Linked DNA regions of Arabidopsis thaliana. The main gene of each other region encodes a partner of the protein of the gene in region 3 in a complex. Each region holds a gene or a part of one and is shown on either strand. Other genes may lie near its edges.

Region 1 (6,957 bases), on a different chromosome or scaffold from region 3:
GAATTGGAGAAGAACTTGAAACTCACAGAGTGGCATATGGAGCCCTCGAGGATGACACTCTACCGTTTTGGTAACACGTCCAGTTCTTCTTTGTGGTATGAATTAGCATATAGTGAGGCCAAAGGAAGGATCAAGAAAGGTGATAGAATTTGGCAGATAGCTTTTGGTTCGGGGTTCAAGTGCAACAGCTCGGTTTGGAGAGCGGTAAGGTCGGTAAACCCTAAGAAAGAGAAGAACCCATGGATGGATGAAATTCATGAGTTCCCAGTTGAAGTCCCCAAGGTCTCCACAATCTAGAAACCACTTAGTGGCAAATTTTCAGAAGAGGTTTTTGAGTTTTCAGCTTTTGATATTTTGTGTCTTCCCAGTGAATTTACCTTTTTCTTGATTTGATAATCAGATACACCAAACTGGTTAACAATATTTTTCTTCTTTTTTGCGGAAAAACTTGTTGTAGTCAGTAGCAGACCGTCAATGGTCGGTCCAGCTTGTGTTTTTGGTTGTTGTGTCTGCATATATATTTCCTTTAAGCATTCTTTGTCTCTTTCATTTTTTGACAAAGTTGTTAAAAACAAGAGTTATCAACTTGTCATTAATAACAATAGGTGATAGAATGTGGCAGAGAGTTTCTATGGTTGTTAAGAATCAGTTGCAAAGATGAGATGATCTCCATCTCTTATAACATCTACATCATCAATCTCTGCATTGTTGTCTTTGTTCATAACTTTGGTAGCAACAATACCAAACTTGTTGGAACCCAATTCTAGCAACTCCTTGAAACTCCCAGGAAGCAGTACCAGCTTCCCGGCTATGTCATCTTTCTCTGCACAACTAATCGTCACTCTCACCGGGTTTCCAGTTCTGCCTTCATCTACCGTAGCTAGCCCGTTCTTGGGTACGCTTTGATTTGCTAATATACCAAACAACGAGTTATCGAAGTTGTTAGTTTTACGTCTTGCTCTTGTTTCTCGAATCCTGAAAGACACTTCTCTTGATGCAGGACGGATGTTGGGTTCACTAGTGAATCTTCCGAGGAACCGGATCCCGGTTTTGAGTATAGGTACCGAAGAACTTGTCTCGATATGCACTCTCCTCTCATGTAACTTTTCTCGGAATAAGGCTTTAATATCCTCATGCCCTTGTTGCTCAGCAAGATCCCTCGGCGTCCAACCATGCATATCCTGCTTGTTAACATCCGCACCTTGCTCCAGAAGATACTTTACCATCTCAATGTTCTCTTCGCATACAGCGGTATGGAGCGCAGAGGTGCCTGTGGCTCTAGGACGAGTAACGTCTCCACCATGAAGAACAATTTCTTTTAGTAGTTTCAAGTTTCCTTGCTCAGCCGCCGTGCAAGCAAAATGACCCACATCCCCTGCGTCTATGGTACTGCCATGTTCTAACAGTACCTTTACAACTTTCTCATGCCCTTCCACCATTGCTTCCCACAGTGGTACACTCCCTTCCGCGTCTGCGTTTACATTTCGAAGAAACCAAGAAGCTCAATACTTCAGAAGAAATCCTGAAATCAAAAGGGAAGTACCAGAACTGAACAAGCAAGTACCTCTGCAATTGGGGTCTGCGTGGTACTCCAACAGAAGAAGAACACAATTTAGAGTTCCTTTTGATGCTGCTATATGCTGTTTCCAGAAAAAAAAAAGAGATCATAAGTTATAGTCTCCAAGAGCTTGGATGAGAAGAAAATAACAGAACAAGAATGTGAACTTGACTGACCAGAGGTGTTCTGCCATTGTTATCCGATTCATTTGGATCAAGTCCTCTCTTTAGTAACTGATGTAAAAGTAAATCGTCTTCTCTTATTGCAGCAAAGCATAAATTGAGAGGAAGATCCATTTTACCCCGTGCAAGCATGTTTTCTATCTCCAGCAGAACATTCGTCATCACCGGATCATTCATTTCTTTCAAATGCTGCTCTCCACAAAGAAAGAGAGTGAGAACAAGTAAGTAATAGTTCATAGATACTTTTCTGTTTTCAATATTTGAAAACCTCAGAAGGATCTGTTTATTCACCTGAAGTAGATTATTCATGATTATGGTACCATCACCAACATTGGCCTGAATAATATTCAAGAAAGTTGTACGGTTCATACGCAACAGTTGGCACAAACGTTTGGTCCTCACAGTAAACAGTTGTGGTCTGTAGCATAACACCCCTATCTCCCCTATAATGTCTCCAGCTTTAACCTCTCTCACAATCTGAAATTCTCCATAAACTTCTCTTTGTGAATGCTTAGTTACATCATAACTCCAAGATCACAGGTATGGAGACAAAAGGGATAAACATAAAATAAGAAACATCCATCAAGTGACGCGACTTACGCTTTCTGTTCCAGTATCTACATCCACCAAGTCCTGCATCATAACGGATATGTAAGAGAAGTAAGTTTTATGTCAACTCAACAAATCTGTAGAGAACTTTGTAATGTTTTATTACCGCGGTTCCGTTCACAAGGATGTAGAAGTCTGTTGGCGCTTCGTTCTGCAAGATAACATCTTCTTTTGGTGGGAAATACTCAGCTTTCATTTCTGAGACCTGTAAAATGTACAAAGTAGTGGTAGCTTCATTTGTGTGTTGAAAATGGGATATGAATGATGTTTTCACATGCATTGTCATTAGTATACCAGTTGAAAAAGCAGGTCATTGGATACTCCTCGAAACAGGTAGACTTTATCCATGAGGGAGTAGAAAAGAAAGTGTGATATACTCGATCTAATGGCCTTTGGGAGTGCATCAAGAGTTTCTTGCTGTTGCAGACCCTCAGAGTCAGTCCGGTATTTCAAACATAAATGTGCAAGCATTTGATCTTGCAGACGAGGTGGTAAATGGTTTCTATGAGCAAAATTTGAAGCAGCTTGGATTGTATCTCTCTGCAAAATGAGAACAAAATATTATAAACCGCGATGGATATGCTTCAAAGATTGAAGATGGATATGAAGATGCTAACTTACAAAATTTCTAGTCCGACTTGTTCCATGGACTACCAAATTTGTCATGTTACCAATCAAGTAAGCGGTTAATCCGAGGTTGAAGAGCATATAGAAGATATCAAATATCATCTCCTTTGTGTTCACAGGATGCAGATCACCATAACCAACAGTGGTTAGAGTAGTGATGGACCAATACATGGAAGTCACATATCTCATCCACAAGCTTTCCTCTAGGAAGTTTGCTACATTTGCACCAATCCAGGTCTTTGCGGGGTTAGAATTGCGCGCTGCGATAAGGTAATAGAAACATGCAGCACAATGAACCGCAAAAAGAGTGACCTGCAAAAATGCTCTGGTTGGTTAGTATCTACACTATTACTACATCGAGAGTGTAGTAGTTTGAATAAAGATAACATTATAAGAAGCAAAACATTTTGATGTTCTTACACAAACGAGTTTTGCGCATCGGACCCAAAAGTAGTTGAAGTTGCGGTCTTTCTCTAGTCTGTTAAACAGAGAATGTCAAGATTAAAGAAAATAATGAAAGAAAGAAGAAAAGTTTAGTGATTCTAACCTGGCAAACAAGGCACCGACTCTGCGAAGACGCCAAAGACGAAGCATGTTAAACAATCCATAAGACTGAGATGAGATTCTCATAGCAGCCTCTGAGGGAATGGTTGAAACAAGATCAAGAAGGAACCAAGAACGCAAGTACTTAAATGCAATCTGTTTACGGTCATCAACAATGAGGTAAGTCGATTTATCGAGGTAACCAACAAAGAATGTCATGATGATATCGATGGCGAAGAATGCGTTCACAATGTTATCGGTGATAGATAGTGGTGGCCTTGGCTTTCTCAAGAACCCAAACTCGAAAGGCGAAACCCAAGCTGTGTAAACCACAAGAACCACTAGGAAAGCCTCCCATATCCTGTAGTCAACATTTCCATTTCAGTCATATTCAATAATCTAGTACATTTTCTACATGTAGTTGAACATATCTCTTAAGTTACTGCATGAATATATCCAAGTAAGTCTCATATTTAATTTATCAGTACTTTGTGTTTCAATAGTATGTTACTATTTGATGACGCTATTGAGGATACAACAACCAAGTACAGTTTTTTCTACTTTTGGTTATAGTAATATATCAGATTTGATATCAGTCGTTGAAATCAAGTAATGAGTGCCTTGAATGTTCCACATTCTCTTTTTCAATTACTATAAATTATCCCCAAAAAGCAAAAGCCAAAAGCAAAGGCGGCTTTTAAGCTAATTAGCCAACGAGAGTAATAATGGGAGCCTTGAATATTCTACAATAGCCTTCACATTTATAGATCTTCTTTTTTGAATATTAGGGAACTAGGATTTGAATATTCCAAATGTTGAGTAAAAAGGGAGCTTTAGTCGTCAAGTAGTTAAAATTTTCAAATTAACCTAAGAAAATATTATTATTAAAAATCAATTGTTGTTGAGGTAAAAAAACGTGGAAACCAACATTTTTGTGTTGTTTGACCAACTAGCATTTTTTATTTGCACGTAATTTTTTTATTTTATGAAGAAATTAAAACATTTTTCAAATAAAATAGTCCAATAAGATAAAATAACATGTTATTTGTTTAAAACCAACATGAAACTCTTACTATTTTGAGGGTAAACTTGTAACCTAACCAAATAGTTATTCACCTAACTCATAGAAAATAAGGTTAGTTAATCTAGTGCATATACTTAATAGTATTTACCCACAATAAATTACAAAAGTTGATCACCAACCATTAAAAAGAATACAATTTTTTTTTATATTCAGTATTCATTTAATAAAATACAAATTTGTTAACTATGATCCTAAAGTAAAGTTAATTTCTTGTTTCCGATCCTCATAAATGAAAGAATCAGAAGTTATATAGTTGAAATATATATCAAGTTAAAATGGTAATCGTCTTCTTAGCTTGACATGGAAGAGAAACAAGAAAAACAAAAAACAAAAGAGTGAAACCTGTATTTGTGATCATAAGGAGATACAACGAATCTCCTAAGCTTAACTCGTCGATTACTTCTTGCACCAAGTGAAGGTAAAATTCCAGTAGAAAGACTAAAATGACTACTCTCTCTCGAAAGCTGTTCAATCTCATCTTGGACTTGTCCGCATAACAAAGCCCCTCCTCTCATCACCGACGTTTTTTTTTCTTGGCTTCCTCTTTGATGGTTCCTTTTTTTTGTTCTTTTGGTTTCGGCAAAAGAGGCAAAATAAGCAGCTTAACTCTTGGCTTTATTGGTTTCACATTTTTTTTTCACTCGTTGTTGATGAGTGAGACCTTTTTTTTTTCTTTATAACAAAAAAAAACTCTTGGCTAGTTGGCTTTATTACGGGTGTGTGTGTCATTTCTGACTTTGGATCCCTTCACTTTCAAGGAATTAAGTTTTCTCTCGGCAACACAGTGGTTGGCCCCACTTTCACGTCTTAACCCTTACTGTAGCATTAATGGTGGCTTCTCCATTTCAAGATAAAATAAAATATCATTCTTGCTCATAAATAATTGTATTAACAGAAGAAGAAAAATTAGACCGAAGAGGAAGAGTTGACCAAAAATTTATACATCAGAGCATGATCTCAAGTTTTTCAATCATTATACTTACTATTTTATTGTTTGTTTGACTTCTAACTAAAGGAAAAAAAAAACACATATAGATGTAGGACACGACTTAAAACTTGTTTTAAAATATTTTAGGTGATCGATCATATAACATTCTTGGGCTCATTTGTGGTATGGAGATTTGAAGTGAGATATTGATTGCAACTTATGGTATGATTGGTTGCATACTTGCATAAAGAGCAATAAATGTTAAACTGTCATACTTTTATTTTAACGAGTAAAGGAAAAGCAAATCGTAAAAAAATAGTTTTTCTTTGTTTGGGCATAAAAGAAAAATATTTTGGTTCATCATCCCTAGATCGTAAGCCCTTTTGTTCACCTTTTCCTCGTCTATCTTACTCACTTCTTGTCCATCATCGTATATATAGGGAATTTAAGATAAGCTAGACATTTAGCCTTTAGGATATGATAACTACCATTGTTTGGGGAGGAAGCTACTTAGGATTTAAGTAGATAATGTAAAATGATGAGGGATAATAATGAACTTTGGATAACTATCCATTTTCTTGAAAGAGAAGTAATGTGATGGATAATCATCACATTTATAACAGTTACCTCATTAAAGTGGTCTTATTACTACAAATATTTGTTGCTATTTTTTCCTTCAAGTTCTGGATTTCTCAAATTTCATATAGTTAAAGTTTTAATTTACAAGATGTCTACTGCTATAGATAAATCATAAAGGTTTGATTGCTATGTCGCTAGGGGAGGAAGATGACCTTTTAAATATATTTGATCTACTTCAATATTGCTCTAGTGAAAAGAGTGTTGTGAGTTTGATAGGAAGAATTCGTAAATCGGATTGCCAAATGATGGAGCTAATCCTAGATAAGCCAAGGAACTGGCAAAAGTATGAAATCATCATAGAGATGGCTATTTCCTATAGAGAATGTTAGATGCGTAACAACCAATTTTCTTTTACTTTTAGAATTTTCTTTATTTACTAATATTTCAGTTAGAGGTTAGCACACTTCTTGTTCCATCCCATAACTGTTCGGGTGTTTCCAAATTCCTATCTTATATAGGAATGTATTCTCAATATGGGACAAGTTGGTATTTCCAAATAGAAACTGGAGGGGTTCCCTAAGTCCTGATTGTGACAAATACAACTAGTATATATATATATATATATATATATATATATATAATATTCTAAAAACTTAATTGATTTAATTTATGTTTAGTTGTTCTAAAATGGATTATGTTTCTTTGTTTTTTCAAGTTTTAACTTTTCACTATATAACACACTTTATCATTTTTTCTTGTTTGGAAAATATTTATGCTAGATAAATTGAAAACATGTTAATTATAGAGCAAGAGTTTATATTTTATTTTATTGTAACAGGTTCTAAGA
Region 2 (4,412 bases), 1.7 Mb from region 3:
CTTATTTGTTGGGCATAACAACTTAATAAAATAGCATATCTAATATTTCCTCTTAAAATGGAACGATTTAAAACAAAAACAAAAAAAATCTTCTCAAAACTCATTAGCTAATTGATTGATTGTAGTAATATAGAGAATCTTCAGCAAACCAAACTTTAGTTATTTACGGACCACATGATAATTATCATATCTATGAATGTTTTTAATTTATATATTCTTGCTACAACATCCGTTTCAAAAATTATAGCCTCAAAATAAACAAGAAAAACTTCACAGTTTATCTACCATCTTCGTGTATAAAAACAAAGAAATGAAGTAGAAAACCCTAGAATCTACACTCACATAATGGTCCACAAGGACCACAACGAATGAAAACAATTGAACACAAATTATAGTAAAGAATCATGGAATCTATGGAAAATTATCAGACCCTACATTAAGACACAACTATTTTCTTTATAAACCTTATGAATTTTTGTAGATACAGAACTTGATTCATTGTATATAATTATGCTATTTCCCTCAATTATCCATATGCATAATGCAATGCAAATGGGTAAGTAGTCAGTTAAACTAAGGGCTTGATTGGTTCTCCCTCTGCCACCCGCAAACGCAGCGTTTGCGGGTGGTAGCGGTTGTTAGCGATTGGCACCAATCATATAAACCGCTAGATATCGCTTTGGACCGCTCGAAATCGCCAGATTTCAAAAGCTCCTTCCCGCAAGCGTTTGCGGTTGCGGGCGGTAGCGGTTAGGTTAAAAAAAAAATTATTTTTATAATTAATTAAAATAATTATATTTTCCACCCAAACCCTATATATCTTATTCTTATTAGAAAACTCTAATAATTAATATATTGTAACTCTATTCTCTCAATTATGGCATCCACCCAAACGGATAAAAATTAAAATCAAAATCAATAATCAAAAGTAAGTATCATATATTCGTTCATCCATTCACGACCAGTTTGATTTTTTTTTGAGTTGGAGATGTGTTATAAATCGTTTGGATATCTTGAAGAAACTTTATTATATGTATAGAGGCAATCTGGAAAATCCGCGAGTTCAACGTTATTTACAGTTTATCACACTATTTGATGTAATTTTTGGTGATGTACCAAATGCATAAAGTATTAAGCTTTTTCTTGCAAAATTTATTTATTTTTGAATTTAATGTTTTATTTACGGTTTTAATTTTTAATTATATTTAATTTTTCTAATATTATGAATTTATCATAATAATATATTATATTTTTCTTTCTTTTAATAGTAATATATTATATTTATTTTGGTTTATTTTTGTTTAATTACTATCACACCCGCTGGTTTACCAGTCATAAAACTCCCGCAAACGCACCCATTATCAAACGTTCAACCAGTCGTTCAAAACGTTTGATAACGCTTGAAACTGCAACCGCCAGTTTCCGCAAACTTCCGCAACCATAACCGCACCCGCTGCATTTTAATCCGTCAGGCCCTAAAAAAATTAATCACTAGGCCGTTAATCCCTATCCGTAATACGAAACACTAGAGGGATAGAATAGTAAATCGCATCGTGACCGGTCATAAAAAGACACGTGTCGTCATCGCTATCCAAATAATTGACAAACTCGAAGCCGCCAAGGGATTGCCGAAGACACATGTCAGTCAGCGAAAGGAGGTTAAACGGTGTAGTTATCACTCCCTAATAAGGGTATCTACGTAATTGCAATGTCGTTAAGATCTATATAAACACTACTCTTTTGCTAGCTCTTATCCGACGGCAAAAGGAGAATTAAGATTTTTAACTTTAAACGAGAGTTTCGTTTATTTACTCAAAAATTTACTTCTGAAATCTCTATTTGAATTTCGGGGAAAAAAATCCTAAGTAAGGGAATGCAGAGAGATGGTCGGAGTATCGCCGGTGAAGACTAAGCTGTGTGATCGGTTTAACCGATCCGTCGGCGGCAGGAATTGCCACCGGAAACACGTCGAGGACGGGTGATCCAGTTTTCTAAACTCTCGTCTCTCGAATTCTTCGAAGATATCGAAAAACTGTAAATCTTTTTTTTCTTCTACTTTTTTACAAAATTCTCTAATCATCGTTGTAAAGTAAAAAACCATGGTCGGAGCAAAACCGGTGGAGAATGGATCTGACGGTGGTAGTAGTACGGGGCTGCTTCACGGCCGTTACGAGCTAGGGCGTCTTCTAGGTCACGGAACATTCGCGAAGGTGTACCACGCTCGTAACATACAAACCGGAAAAAGCGTGGCGATGAAAGTCGTCGGAAAAGAGAAAGTGGTGAAAGTTGGTATGGTTGATCAGATCAAACGAGAGATCTCTGTGATGAGGATGGTGAAACATCCAAACATCGTCGAGCTTCACGAAGTCATGGCGAGTAAATCCAAGATCTATTTCGCCATGGAGCTTGTACGAGGCGGTGAGTTATTCGCTAAGGTGGCTAAAGGAAGACTACGTGAAGACGTAGCTCGTGTTTATTTCCAGCAATTGATCTCAGCCGTTGATTTCTGTCATAGCCGTGGTGTTTATCACCGAGATCTGAAACCGGAGAATCTCTTGTTAGATGAAGAAGGTAATCTCAAGGTGACTGATTTTGGTCTCTCTGCTTTCACTGAGCATTTGAAACAAGACGGACTTCTTCATACAACTTGTGGAACTCCGGCTTATGTTGCGCCGGAGGTTATATTGAAGAAAGGATACGACGGAGCTAAGGCGGATCTGTGGTCTTGTGGTGTTATACTTTTTGTGCTTCTTGCTGGTTATTTGCCGTTTCAAGATGATAATCTTGTGAATATGTATAGGAAGATTTACAGAGGAGATTTCAAATGTCCTGGTTGGCTTTCTTCTGATGCTAGACGGCTTGTGACTAAGCTTCTTGATCCGAATCCGAATACGAGGATTACTATTGAGAAGGTTATGGATTCGCCTTGGTTCAAGAAACAAGCAACGAGATCAAGAAACGAACCAGTGGCTGCCACAATCACAACCACGGAAGAGGATGTTGATTTCTTGGTGCACAAGTCGAAGGAAGAGACGGAGACGTTAAACGCGTTTCATATAATCGCGTTATCGGAAGGGTTTGATTTGTCGCCGTTGTTTGAGGAGAAGAAGAAAGAGGAGAAAAGAGAGATGAGATTCGCGACGTCTCGGCCAGCGAGTAGCGTGATTTCGAGTTTGGAAGAAGCGGCGAGAGTTGGGAATAAGTTTGATGTGAGGAAGAGTGAGAGTAGAGTAAGGATTGAAGGTAAACAGAATGGTCGGAAAGGGAAATTGGCGGTGGAAGCGGAGATATTCGCGGTGGCTCCGTCGTTTGTTGTCGTGGAAGTGAAGAAAGATCATGGAGATACGCTTGAGTACAACAACTTCTGCAGTACTGCTCTTAGACCAGCTCTCAAGGACATTTTCTGGACCTCTACACCTGCTTGAATTTGATGAATTCTTGCGTGTTTCAAATTTTTATGTTGTAATATATATTGTTGGATTCTAGATTCGATTCGTGATTCTTGTTTTTGATTCTTAATGTGGTATCATAGTTTGGATCGTTCAAAAAGTTGTAAGTCTTTTGTGTGTGTTTGAGTCGTGGCCGATATGTTGCGTCACGAAGCAGAGAATGTTGTGTGTGGTGTAGAATGGTGTGTTAAAGATTCCATCATCAACAAATAATAATCATGACTCTTTTAAGAATGTTAAAGAGTCAATTTTTATGCATTCATTCTCATCAAATGTCTTTTTTTTTTTTTTTGCACGTCTCTTCTTACCTTGGATTGATTAGGACATCATCTTTGTTTATGCTGGTCCAATTTGTAGTGTCGTGTTGAATCATGTATATACTCTTCAAGATTCATGTGACTATTGTATTAACACAAGTACTTAAAAAAATTCTGCGTTTTTACTTTATTGAGTCGTTTAGCTTATGCGTTTTAAATTGGTAAGATGAGTAGTAGAATCATCAAGTTAATTCAGTCGCTAGCGATGATAGAGGGCTTGTGGAGTAAGTCGAGTTAGTAAAATCTGTCATATAACAATAGGGATATGATTAGCACAAATGTGACGACGATTGTATGATTAGTGATCAGAGTTTTTTTTTTTTTTTGAATAAAATGATCGTGACAAGTATTCATTGATTTGTTGATTATAAATAATAGTGGAGTAGATGGATTCAGATGAGTGAATAGAATATGAAAAGTAAAAGGAAGATGAGGTGGGCAGCAAAACAAAAGTAGAAGTTACGTGATTGGGATGGATGTTTCATGAACCCGATTAATATTATATTAGTATATATCTCTCTTTTTAATAGAATTCTTAGTATAATCATATCAAACATGTGATTCATTAACGGAGATGCAAACACCAACCCATGATCTGTAACATAAAAAACGAAAAATGAATAACCATCTTTTACTGCCACAACGT
Region 3 (4,809 bases):
TCCGTAAAGCATCCCGTGGAGTTGGAAGAAGCTGAATTTCTTGTTGAATCCATGGAGAGTCGTGTAGATAGAAACTTTTTAGCCAAGAAAGAGAGAACAAATCGATGATCAAAAAAAGAGATTGTCAACGCGCTCTGATACCTATTCAGATCTTTGAGACAGGGAAAACATATATATTAGGAAAGACCGAAAGAGTAAGTAATTTATTCCTCAAAGTAAACGTGTTTATGCAGAACACAATCGTCACTAACTTTGCTAATTACTTTGTCAACTCTAACTGACAAAGTCAACCACAAGACTAACAAATCCGATTGTTGTAATGTTGCATCCGGTTCGATCAAATCGGTGATTTCAATTTTGACTTCAGAATTCAGACTAGAGCATACCCGATCATTTGGTGTTGGGTTCTCTCTTTTTTGCTCTCTATTATCACTTCATCAGTTTGCTCTTTATTAATAGGATTCATGTCTCAAGGTTAGTAGTATATCTACAGATGCGAGGAGAAAATCAGCAATCAAAATCAGGAGTAGCAAAAATACAGATTTGTTTTCTTTACTTTTAATTCACACAAGTAACAACAAAATCTTGAAAATGTTCAGAGAGATTGAAACAAATAGACATGATACATAATCAGAAAACAAACACAATTCCCAAATTGTCTCCTCTGCTAATATGCTATTGTTTTTCTCAGGTATCTTCCACCTGCGAGTGGAACACAAAGCTCGGAAATGTAGTTGTTATATCCCTGCACACAATATCAGAGATCGGTGTTAATAATAACACAGAAAAAATTGGAAGTTGCATTGCCTAAACCTCGGATAAGTCTTGGTTTAGGAACTCACTTAAGATACTGGAGAGTCATATTCTTTAGAAGGGAAGGATGCCTGAGAACAAGGGTTCTCCACTCTTCCTTATCGATCCTCCCGTCATGTTTTGTATCAGCTTCCTCAAATGTCTGTGAAAGAAGAAACTTAGAAACCACTCTTTACTTTATTCTCAACTGCTATCATGAGTTGGCTATACAACAGTGGAACAAGAATATAGTATCGAGCAGGGTAGGAAGGAACCACACCTTGTCGATTATACTCTCTATGATTTCGTCTGACAGGTTCATGCCGGACTCAGCAAGAGTAGCCACCACCATTTGCTTCACCTCTTGCCTCTCTATGAAACCTTGCTGCTTAAGATCATATAGCTGAAACGAAACTGCAAAACAATGTTCCCGGTAACTGTTAGTGATATTTCATGGGTTACATGTAGCATGTCAACATCAGATAAATTGTATAGATGGTTTCTCAGATCAACTTTGTAAGATCAAAGACGTACAGTCAATCTTGTCTTCTATGGGAGCATTTGGATGAAAGACAGAGAGAGCACGCGCAAACTCCTCAAACCCCAGTATTCCATTATGCTTTGTGTCAAACAAATCGAATACCTGTGATTGGTACTGTCAAGTTATCTTTCAAAAAGGATCTTGGCAAATGGATAACAAAGTCTTTTGATTAAAAAAGAAGAACATACCCGGTCTGCAAACAAGCTCTCTTTTTTATTTGTCTTGAACAAGGCTAACTGAAATTCTTCCTGAACGACAAGACAGGTCAAGGAAAATCAGAAAAGGATGTCCAAAAGACGTAGCAATATGCATGATTCGTGAGGAGTATAAGTGAGTGGCATAAAAGACATATAATGATGCCCTTCCTTCATACCTTGTTTATTAGCCCATCATCAATCACAGCACTGCTGATTTTCTTAAACAGCTCATAGAGAGCCTCTATTTCACTCACGCTAACTGCACCCAAACGAGTCAATGATCAAAACACAGAAAGAAAGATTTGCATTCCTCTTAACAGAGAGCATCAACTAGAGTAATGGCAAGCCTTTGAATCATACATATAACTGGAAAAAAAAAGTGCATGGAAGTTAAAATAAGATGGAAAAGAAGTTGAGAGCATACAAACTGTCTCTCTCGCAAGAAGTTCAGGGTCACCAAGGCCTCCAGATTGTTTGTAAATATCGATATCAAAACACCGGAAAAAAGAGGAGCATACATGCTTGAAACCGTCTATGCACTGCGACATGATATATCTTGTAAATCAAAACTCTCCATGCCTGTTAAATAACAATAAAATGTAAGAACTTTCGAACCACTTGGAAGAATCTAAAGACATATGCATTTGAACAAGATAAGTACCTTTTAACCATTTCCTGGTTCGTCAAATAGGCAATGCTTTGTACACCTCAAAAAATTCTGCGATGGGAAGGAAATGAGATATAGTCAGTTATTAGCTCATCAAATTGCAAAACAGTTAAAGAAGAATTGACAGGAGCAAACAAGATTCATCATTCTCAGATCAGATCTGAATTAGACTAAAGCACCAGATACTATGAAACACAAACAGAGGAGACGCATATTATAAACGGTCGTAAACTTTATGCATTAATCTTAACTCCAGATTCATTTCCAGATTAACCAATGTATTCATGGATTAGGAACTATCTTTAAGCTAAAACACGAAACCCAAATCTAAGAAACAGCCCCAAAAAATACATGAACTAGGATAAAATGAGGAATCAAAAACACCCAATTTCACGTCAGAAATGCATCATGAATTTTGCGGGGAAAAAAAATGCATCATGAAGAACATAATAAAACTATCCAGACGGATTAATCGTCAGAAAATATAATCCTCTGAGGATCGACACCTGAATCTAATCGCGATATGAATCAGAGAAGTGATTAAGCTAAGGAGAAATGACGGATATGAGAAAAAGCGATCCAATGAGTTTTAGATTCCAAATCGTTCGGATTCAGAGATACAACAACGATGAATCTCGTTATATAAACTTGGTAATCAGCTCATGGATCTATCAGCTTGCGAAGAAATTAGTTGCTTGATTCTCAATCTCAAATTTTAACTTGTTTCCCATCGCGATTTTCCCGGAATAAACACACGAGATTACGAGGAAGCGACCGACCGCGAAATCGTAGAAAAGGGAGAAAGAGAAGAAGAAAAAGCCTTACGCCACGGCGGATGATGAGCCTTCCTTGCGGCGGCTCCGGCGGTTGAAGGTGACGGTGGTTGCGGTGGAAAACGCGAAAAAAGCTCTTATTGGGTAAGTGAGAGAAAAAAGGTCGACACGATTTTCTATAAGCAGAATGAATATATTGCAAAATTTTAAATATGCTAAGAAAAAGACCAAATTATTTTTGTTTGTTGGCGTTTTTATACTTTTTAAATTTAAAAAATAAATAATTTTGTTTATTTTTACTCGATGTTGATACAGTTGTAATAAAACTCCTTGTTACATTCACTTTCACACGTCGTCGTCTAGTGGAGCATGTGTCCATTTATGCGCTGTCTTAAACACCATCGTTTCAATAATCGTTCCTATACGACGGCGTGTCATGTTATTCGGATTCTGACTGTTGCTTTGGTCTGATTTGGTCTCTGGGTTTGAATTCGGTTTAAATTGTCTTTGGAAAAAATATTATAGCAAAAACCAGTATAAGCTTAGTTACATTAACCAACAATTAAAACTTTGATTAATGGTAAGAGAGGGACAAACTCTACTGGTAAAACAACAGATTGATCATGTTTTTTAACTTTTTTTTTAGGTAAAATTACAGTTACTGGTGAGCTACTTTGTACACAAGAAAAAAAAAGGAATGATAACGACATTCACACAAGTAAACGTGTTTAGGCGGCAACAGAAAAAAAAAAAAACACATATATGGTACTTGGTCAGAGATTCAATCTTGTGACTCATGTATTGTTTTGATTTTTCAGTTAGGGAGATCTTGTTTGCAAAGAGGACAACACGAGATGATACGAAGCCATTGATCTACGCATTTGAGGTGAAACCTATGCGAACATGGAAGCTTTCTCACTTCTTCTTTCTCTTTGTACTTTGCCAAACATATACAACATTCCTGCAATAATGAAACCGGTGGGTTTCAGTTTTGATATCAAGATTGATTTCTGACTATTTGACCTATTTCAGAATTCAAATTAGTGCTTACCGGATCATTGTTTGCTTGAGAAGAATCAGAAGTTTCATCAATGAGTTTGTATTTCCAACTTGGGAGACTGGAGATCTGGTCATCTGAAGCTCCTTTTTCCGAAGATCCAACGTTCATGTTGTAGCCGAGGAAGCTACTAACGAGAGGTACAACACAACAGAGCAGGAGGAAGAGAAGAAATGGGAAGGAGTAACAGAGAGCGTTCCAAGCGAGTAGGGAGATGCAGAGGACATGAAGGATTGGAGCATAGTGGAAAGAACCAAACCGAGAATCAAAAACCCATACATTACCTATCACAAACCATATCGCAAAGAATAGCTCCAGCGATGTCCGGCATTTGTTCATCAAATGCGAGCACCTAAAACACACACAAAAATAAGTCATTTTCCTAGAAATCTTTGCATTTTATGATCAAACTTGAAAAAACTAGATTTTTGTTAGTAACCTGGTGGTCTCTTCCCTGCTTCTTTGTTGCTGCTCAATATCGCCGAAGCTAAATGCATTTTCATGGCTAGTATCTTGCTGACGATACCGACCGTATAGTAACATAAGATTGAGCAGACATCCAACGTTGTAGCCAGTGATCCATAACCTCATCGGCCAAACAGGCCTCTCGTTTTTGGACAAAGCTAGTGTGGATGTTATCACAGTGATCTGTAAAAGTAAAGCGATGAGCTCTGATACCATCCAAGCGATAGAATTGAAAGGATTGGTGCCAAGATCGGATCTTGAGGCGTTCTGGTAATGAAAGACTCTTCTCAAGAAAATGAACCACCTTGCTCTAGATA
Region 4 (6,294 bases), on a different chromosome or scaffold from region 3:
CAAAATTTAATTACTAATGATGAACTTTTAAATATATTTACGTATAAAATAATCAAACATAGATTTAAAATAATTGTGACTATATGTCTCAAGTACAGTTAACTCGACCGATTAAAAAGATTATTATTGTTTGATTCTTATTAGAATTGAATTTTGGTGTTATGTTCTTTTTGTTAAAGGGTTTAGTTTTGGTATTATTAGGTTAGAAAGAGATATTGTACGCTTTGTAAAATCATTTTAATTAAGCAAATAATAATGTCTTGGTTGCCTCCAACAGACACTCGAACATGATTGTTTCTGTTAACTTCCGTTAATTTAGTTTTCTGATCACAAACACGAACTCGTGGGTCGGTTTATTTTTATTTCCGAGGTCAAATATTATAATGACTGACCGGGAATATACTTTCTTGATAAGAAAGTCATTATTTACACATTAGGGTTTTTAAGAGATTAAATATAATTTTCAATCTAAAGCATCTGCAATGATCATCAACTGAAGAAAATTATGATGAAAAGATTTGAGAATTTACATTCAACGACTAAACGAGTATGAATATATATGAATCAGATAACTTTTATTTTTAAAAATATGCATCATGATGGTCATGGCCTCATGGGCTATCAATTGTAAAGTCAAACCCTTTCAAGAAAACGTGGCAAGGTCATGTGTATGTACATTTGCCCACCAATGATTTGGTTCTATTGTTTTATGCTAATACGATGATTATTAGATAACATTCTCTTTGATGAGCACCATAAAAATCAGAAACTAGGTTTAAACTATTTTGGGTTGAAAAAACAAGTATAACTAGTTAGGTTGATAACTGTATACTGTATTTATAATAGAGCATTATTTCTTATAGAAACACAAACACATATATAATCTAGACAGAAGATTCTAAACATTTGATCGAACCATCGAAAATTTAATGTTTAATGGTTTGTATCATTAAGTGCCCCTTTTGTGAAACATTTAGTATTGAAAAGGGCACGTAGCTCCTTGATACTGGTAACGGCTTTTCCATAACATCAAAAGTTCAATTGGACGTTTCAAATCTAATCAATAGTATTTATTAGAGTAAATAAAAGATCCTCTTACGTTTTATAAATCTTATAAGTACACATGTTTGGAATCTCGGAGTATAAAAAGATACTTGGATAAGTGATGGCAGCTAATTGGATAAGTGGTGGACTTAGTTCAATATTTTTATTAAAAGTTTGCATATATATATATATATATATATATATATATATTTTAATAATTAATATTAATTAGAATTTAATTGAGCAATTTCGAGAATATTATTTAAGTTAGGTAAGAATTTTTTTGTACTAATTTATCTGTTTTTATTTTTACGAGAAATTAAAGATAAAGAAAAATTTATAAATTCTTTACTGTCGTTCTTTAACTCTTTTGAAATCGTTGATTATTCGGTTGGAGAAAATATCATATTTTTTATTTTCTTTTTCGAAATTTTGTTTTAAAAAATTATGACAGCTAATTACACGGCATGTAAAAAAGTAAAATATTTACTTTTATTTATATTTGATAAAAAAGGATGACATAATTTTCTGTAATCACCATAAGTCCATAACGTTTGCATTTAAATTATCAAAGACTAAGATAAGCCTAGAATAATTTAAAATGTAAACTATAGTATACGTCAGAACCTACAGATACAACCTTCCTCGTATAATCCCTAAACAGAATTTTAATTAAACATTTCCTTAACTAATTTACTTCTTAATTTAACTTTTAAATTCCTTCCACCATCGAATCACAATCTCTCTCTCTCTCGCTTGCTGTTACTCGCTTTTTCCCAGAACCGGCTTCGATTTTTCTAAAGCAGCCGAAATTTACGATTCCCAGAATTTTCCCTACTGACAAAATTTCACTTCAAATACAAATCTCGTCTTCATGAGTCTTCTTCTTCGTCCAAATTGAATTTTCTCCGCACACGAGAGTTGAATTTTGATTTTCGGCTGTTTATATGGTCTCCGGTCCCTTAGGGTTTTAATTCTTCTGCAGATCTCTCACGATGAGCGTTGCGAAATCCCAAGTATGGCAGCCATGCAAGAAGAAGAGGTCCTCCTCCTGATTCAATAGAGATCTATCTATATATATATAAGAGACCGAGATATATATATAGAGAGAGAGATGGCTTCTCGAACAACGCCTTCACGATCGACTCCTTCACGATCAACGCCTTCTGGTAGTTCTTCTGGTGGTAGGACACGAGTTGGTAAGTATGAGCTTGGACGAACTTTGGGTGAAGGAACTTTCGCTAAGGTCAAATTCGCTAGAAATGTTGAGAATGGTGATAATGTCGCTATTAAGGTTATTGATAAAGAGAAAGTTCTGAAAAATAAGATGATCGCTCAGGTATGTATTATACAATTCTCCAGCTGCTGTGTTCTTATTGGGAATCTGATTTACGCAGTTGTGATATAACCTTTGATTTTGGATTTTGTAGATCAAGCGTGAGATTTCGACGATGAAATTGATCAAGCACCCGAATGTCATTCGTATGTTTGAGGTTTGATTCTGATACTATAAAGCTGAATTCAAAGTTGTGTTGCACGTTTTGGTTGTTGTTGTTGTTCTATAGATTTGTGCTATAAGCTGAGATTCGTTTGAAGTTATGGAACATATTTGTGGTCCCTGGCTAATCATATGTATGTAATATAAGGGATTTGATTATTCTATGTATTTTTTTGGTATCTTTGTAGTTACAGATTCTCTTCTTCTTCTTCTTCTTCTTCTTCTTCTTCTTCTTCTTCTTCTTCTTCTTCTTCTTCTTCTTCTTCTTCTTCTTCTTCTTCTTCTTCTTCAGGTGATGGCTAGCAAAACTAAGATCTACTTCGTTTTGGAATTCGTCACTGGTGGGGAGCTTTTCGATAAAATTGTAAGATTTCATTGAAAGATGTGTTTTTTTTTTCTTAATACTATGTGGAAATGAGATCTTAATTCTTTAGAATTGTCATGTATTAGTCAAGCAATGGGAGATTGAAGGAAGATGAGGCGAGGAAGTATTTCCAACAGCTGATTAATGCGGTTGATTATTGTCATAGCAGGGGAGTTTATCATAGAGACCTTAAGGTTAGGAATCTTACTTTGTGATCCTCTTGCATAGGGTTTCTTGTGAATCAATTGGCATCAGAATAAAAGTTTGATGTGTTTGAATCATGTTGCACATTCTGGTTGCAGCCAGAAAATTTGCTTTTGGATGCTAATGGTGCTTTGAAAGTGTCTGACTTTGGATTGAGCGCTCTACCTCAGCAAGTTCGAGTGAGCATCGAGATATTGATTTCTTTTTCTATCATTTCATTGTAAATATCATAGTTCGATAATTCAGCTACTATGGCTTCTAAGGAGAAAGATTTCCATGATTTATTCAAAAGCTGATTTTGTGACCCTTTTTCTTTAGGAGGATGGGTTACTTCACACAACCTGTGGAACACCCAATTATGTTGCTCCGGAGGTATTAGCAACTGCTACTGAAAACTGACACACAATTTTCTCAAAACTTGAATTCTATTATTTTCTAGTCTCAGTAACCTTCTATATTTTCTCCCTAGGTAATCAACAACAAAGGTTATGATGGAGCGAAGGCTGATTTGTGGTCTTGTGGAGTAATTCTCTTTGTTTTAATGGCTGGTTATTTACCTTTTGAAGATTCTAACCTGACGTCGTTATATAAAAAGGTATTACGCTTGCCTCTTCTTCTTTTGCTTTTCTTTTGATACATATCATTTTACATGCTATCAGAAAGGCTTCAAGGTCTAGGTGCATTTGGGTGGCTGTATAAAAGCCTCTGTCATTTTTGTATGAGACGTATATAGCATAAAAGCCACCTGATTTTCTTTCTTCATAATTACAGATATTCAAAGCAGAATTTACTTGCCCTCCCTGGTTCTCTGCAAGTGCTAAGAAGTTAATCAAAAGAATTCTGGATCCCAATCCAGCAACGGTATATTTTTCTTACCCTATTATATAATTTATATTAGAGGATCTCTCCTTTGAAGAGGCAAAAGCTTCTATAGGATTGAGTAGATCTGAAGGCTTACACTGATTTTTTATATTGGGCAGAGGATTACATTTGCTGAGGTCATTGAAAATGAGTGGTTTAAAAAAGGGTATAAAGCACCTAAATTTGAGAATGCTGATGTCAGCCTTGATGATGTTGATGCAATCTTTGATGACTCAGGGGTAAGGCTAGTGTTCTTTTGTTTGTTTTTTTCGGTACTTTGTCCGGGATGATTGCTCAGTTGTTTTTGTTTGTTAATAGGAGTCTAAGAATCTTGTTGTGGAGAGGCGAGAAGAAGGACTCAAAACACCAGTAACGATGAATGCTTTTGAGCTCATCTCGACATCCCAGGGTCTCAATCTCGGTTCACTTTTCGAAAAACAAATGGTACAGAAGTCTGATACGTAAAGCTGGTCTTTAAATTTCGTCCCCCAAGGCTCTTATTTTGTTGACAATTTTTAACTATCTTTTTGCGGTTTTGGTCAAACCTAATAAGAAGTAGCTTTGCCACAAAATTTTAGTGACCAATACTTTTCTTTGGAAGCCCGTACTTAGTTTGATAGAAGTCGTCATTCTGATTGATAAGCTTCTCTGATTTCAGGGGCTGGTGAAACGAAAAACTCGATTTACTTCCAAATCTTCGGCTAATGAGATAGTTACAAAAATTGAGGCTGCGGCAGCACCTATGGGGTTTGATGTCAAGACAAATAACTACAAGGTTAGAATACTGTTACGTATTTACCCAATGCTGTGGAGTTGTGTATTGGTTTGTTGCTTCTGAATAGACCCTTTAACCATTTCTCAACTCCTTCAGATGAAGCTGACAGGAGAGAAATCAGGCCGCAAGGGTCAGTTGGCAGTTGCCACTGAGGTTAGCTTTCACAATGACCAGTGATCACCCTTTGTATGGTTGGCTGAACCTAATTTAAGTTAATTGACATCTACCTTCAGGTTTTTCAAGTTGCTCCATCTCTTTACATGGTTGAAATGCGAAAATCAGGGGGTGACACATTGGAATTCCACAAGGTATGCAAGGGTTATTAATGCTGATCAGGTTGTATCAAACCCGAGCTTGTCAAATGGTCTTCCAGTAACTGATGTTTGAATCTTTACCTTTTTGCATCCTTTCTTGCTCTTCTTTTAGTTTTACAAGAACCTTACCACGGGACTTAAGGACATTGTTTGGAAAACCATCGACGAAGAGAAAGAGGAAGGAACCGATGGTGGTAAGTATCTGCCTTGAATACTCTGTTTTTTAGATAAAGCTCCTAGAAAAGGAGAAACTAACGAAACATGTAAACACAAATCCTGTTTTGTTTCTTCATGTTTCAGGTGGTACTAATGGTGCCATGGCTAACCGGACAATTGCAAAACAGTCGACATAAGCTGTTTACTTTTTTCTAATATAGATTTTGTTCGTTATAAATTACTATAGTAGTACGGAGTGGTTTTGAAGTTAATACAAAAGGAAGCGTCAAGAAGTGGAGCAGAAGCAGTTTGAAACTATATTGGGGAATGGGGATTATTGATATTTTAATCATGTTTGATTCCATGGAATGTTGTGAATAGCATATGCGTGTTGCGAGGTTCTTGGCTTGAATCGATTAACCGGAAAGTAAAAGCTTTACAGATTTGGTTTTGCAATTTCTATATTGTCGGACGCTGAGATTCGATAGATATTTCAGTTCAAATGTACTGAAAACAAACTAACACTTGTGTGTGAACCAAATCGAAATTTATTTTCATAATTTTAAAACCTGAAAAAGGAAAGCGGACTGAAAACCAATATCAGTGTAGACAAAACAAACTGAATATATAGCATGACTTGAAGTTAGTGAGATTTTAAAACCAAAATCAAGGAAAGAAAAATATCAATAAAGATTATGTCGGACCAAATACTATAACAAAAATTTAGAGATGGAAAACTTGGTGGCCAAGTTACTCTGTATTAATAATTGAGGGCGAAGAAGATGTGAACAAGAACACCAATTCTTCAATTAGGGGTTTTGTTATTCTTCTGTATTACTCTCTTGTTTATTGCTAAGAAACAGGTAAGGCTGTAGCTAAGAGTGTGGAGGAGGAGGAGGTTGGTCTTCATAATTTGGAAACAACTAATGTGGATGTGGATGAGGAGTTTGTTCCTCACAGTTTGGATGAAGCTAAGGCTGTTGTGGATGTTGTAGATGTGGAGGAGGAGGTTGGTCCTGTTGGTTTAGAAACAGCTAAGGCTGTTGTGGATGTGGAGAAAGAGTTTGGTCCTCGTGGT

The links.
Region 1: CBL3 (region 3) and KT1 share a complex: the UniProt entries of both Arabidopsis thaliana proteins name them as parts of the K(+)-channel calcium-sensing kinase/phosphatase complex.
Region 2: CBL3 (region 3) and SIP3 share a complex: the UniProt entries of both Arabidopsis thaliana proteins name them as parts of the K(+)-channel calcium-sensing kinase/phosphatase complex.
Region 4: CBL3 (region 3) and CIPK23 share a complex: the UniProt entries of both Arabidopsis thaliana proteins name them as parts of the K(+)-channel calcium-sensing kinase/phosphatase complex.

The regions. Positions count from the first base shown.
Region 1 is NC_003071.7:11,331,327-11,338,283, forward strand, and holds KT1 (K+ transporter 1), read right to left. Parts: upstream 5,413-6,957; 5' UTR 5,119-5,412; coding exon 4,946-5,118; intron 4,093-4,945; exon of another isoform or gene 3,881-4,092; coding exon 3,524-3,880; intron 3,455-3,523; coding exon 3,397-3,454; intron 3,289-3,396; coding exon 2,971-3,288; intron 2,890-2,970; coding exon 2,644-2,889; intron 2,555-2,643; coding exon 2,456-2,554; intron 2,374-2,455; coding exon 2,341-2,373; intron 2,218-2,340; coding exon 2,032-2,217; intron 1,930-2,031; coding exon 1,735-1,929; intron 1,641-1,734; coding exon 1,565-1,640; intron 1,472-1,564; coding exon 639-1,471; 3' UTR 524-638; downstream 1-523. Other genes in the region: KCS11 (3-ketoacyl-CoA synthase 11), read left to right, coding at 1-297. UniProt on the Arabidopsis thaliana protein: Highly selective inward-rectifying potassium channel that mediate potassium uptake by plant roots in response to low K(+) conditions, by a calcium-, CBL-, and CIPK-dependent pathway. Positively regulated by phosphorylation by CIPK23.
Region 2 is NC_003075.7:15,065,301-15,069,712, forward strand, and holds SIP3 (SOS3-interacting protein 3), read left to right. Parts: upstream 1-1,727; 5' UTR 1,728-2,099; coding exon 2,100-3,425; 3' UTR 3,426-3,883; downstream 3,884-4,412. Other genes in the region: AT4G30970 (uncharacterized protein), read right to left, coding at 3,966-4,010. UniProt on the Arabidopsis thaliana protein: CIPK serine-threonine protein kinases interact with CBL proteins. Binding of a CBL protein to the regulatory NAF domain of CIPK protein lead to the activation of the kinase in a calcium-dependent manner.
Region 3 is NC_003075.7:13,407,921-13,412,729, forward strand, and holds CBL3 (calcineurin B-like 3), read right to left. Parts: upstream 3,151-4,809; 5' UTR 2,704-3,150; intron 2,249-2,703; 5' UTR 2,192-2,248; intron 2,110-2,191; 5' UTR 2,079-2,109; coding exon 1,955-2,078; intron 1,790-1,954; coding exon 1,707-1,789; intron 1,582-1,706; coding exon 1,522-1,581; intron 1,448-1,521; coding exon 1,327-1,447; intron 1,207-1,326; coding exon 1,073-1,206; intron 956-1,072; coding exon 843-955; intron 746-842; coding exon 688-745; 3' UTR 502-687; downstream 1-501. Other genes in the region: CBL7 (calcineurin B-like protein 7), read right to left, coding at 1-53; AT4G26580 (RING/U-box superfamily protein), read right to left, coding at 3,785-3,931, 4,022-4,379, 4,467-4,809. UniProt on the Arabidopsis thaliana protein: Acts as a calcium sensor. CBL proteins interact with CIPK serine-threonine protein kinases. Binds calcium ions. Binding of a CBL protein to the regulatory NAF domain of a CIPK protein lead to the activation of the kinase in a calcium-dependent manner.
Region 4 is NC_003070.9:10,653,112-10,659,405, forward strand, and holds CIPK23 (CBL-interacting protein kinase 23), read left to right. Parts: upstream 1-1,688; 5' UTR 1,689-2,158; coding exon 2,159-2,383; intron 2,384-2,474; coding exon 2,475-2,537; exon of another isoform or gene 2,538-2,676; intron 2,677-2,834; coding exon 2,835-2,906; intron 2,907-2,992; coding exon 2,993-3,100; intron 3,101-3,208; coding exon 3,209-3,289; intron 3,290-3,428; coding exon 3,429-3,482; intron 3,483-3,579; coding exon 3,580-3,705; intron 3,706-3,881; coding exon 3,882-3,971; intron 3,972-4,090; coding exon 4,091-4,210; intron 4,211-4,289; coding exon 4,290-4,415; intron 4,416-4,629; coding exon 4,630-4,746; intron 4,747-4,842; coding exon 4,843-4,899; intron 4,900-4,979; coding exon 4,980-5,054; intron 5,055-5,172; coding exon 5,173-5,254; coding exon of another isoform or gene 5,255-5,271; exon of another isoform or gene 5,272-5,360; coding exon 5,361-5,413; 3' UTR 5,414-5,789; downstream 5,790-6,294. UniProt on the Arabidopsis thaliana protein: CIPK serine-threonine protein kinases interact with CBL proteins. Binding of a CBL protein to the regulatory NAF domain of CIPK protein leads to activation of the kinase in a calcium-dependent manner.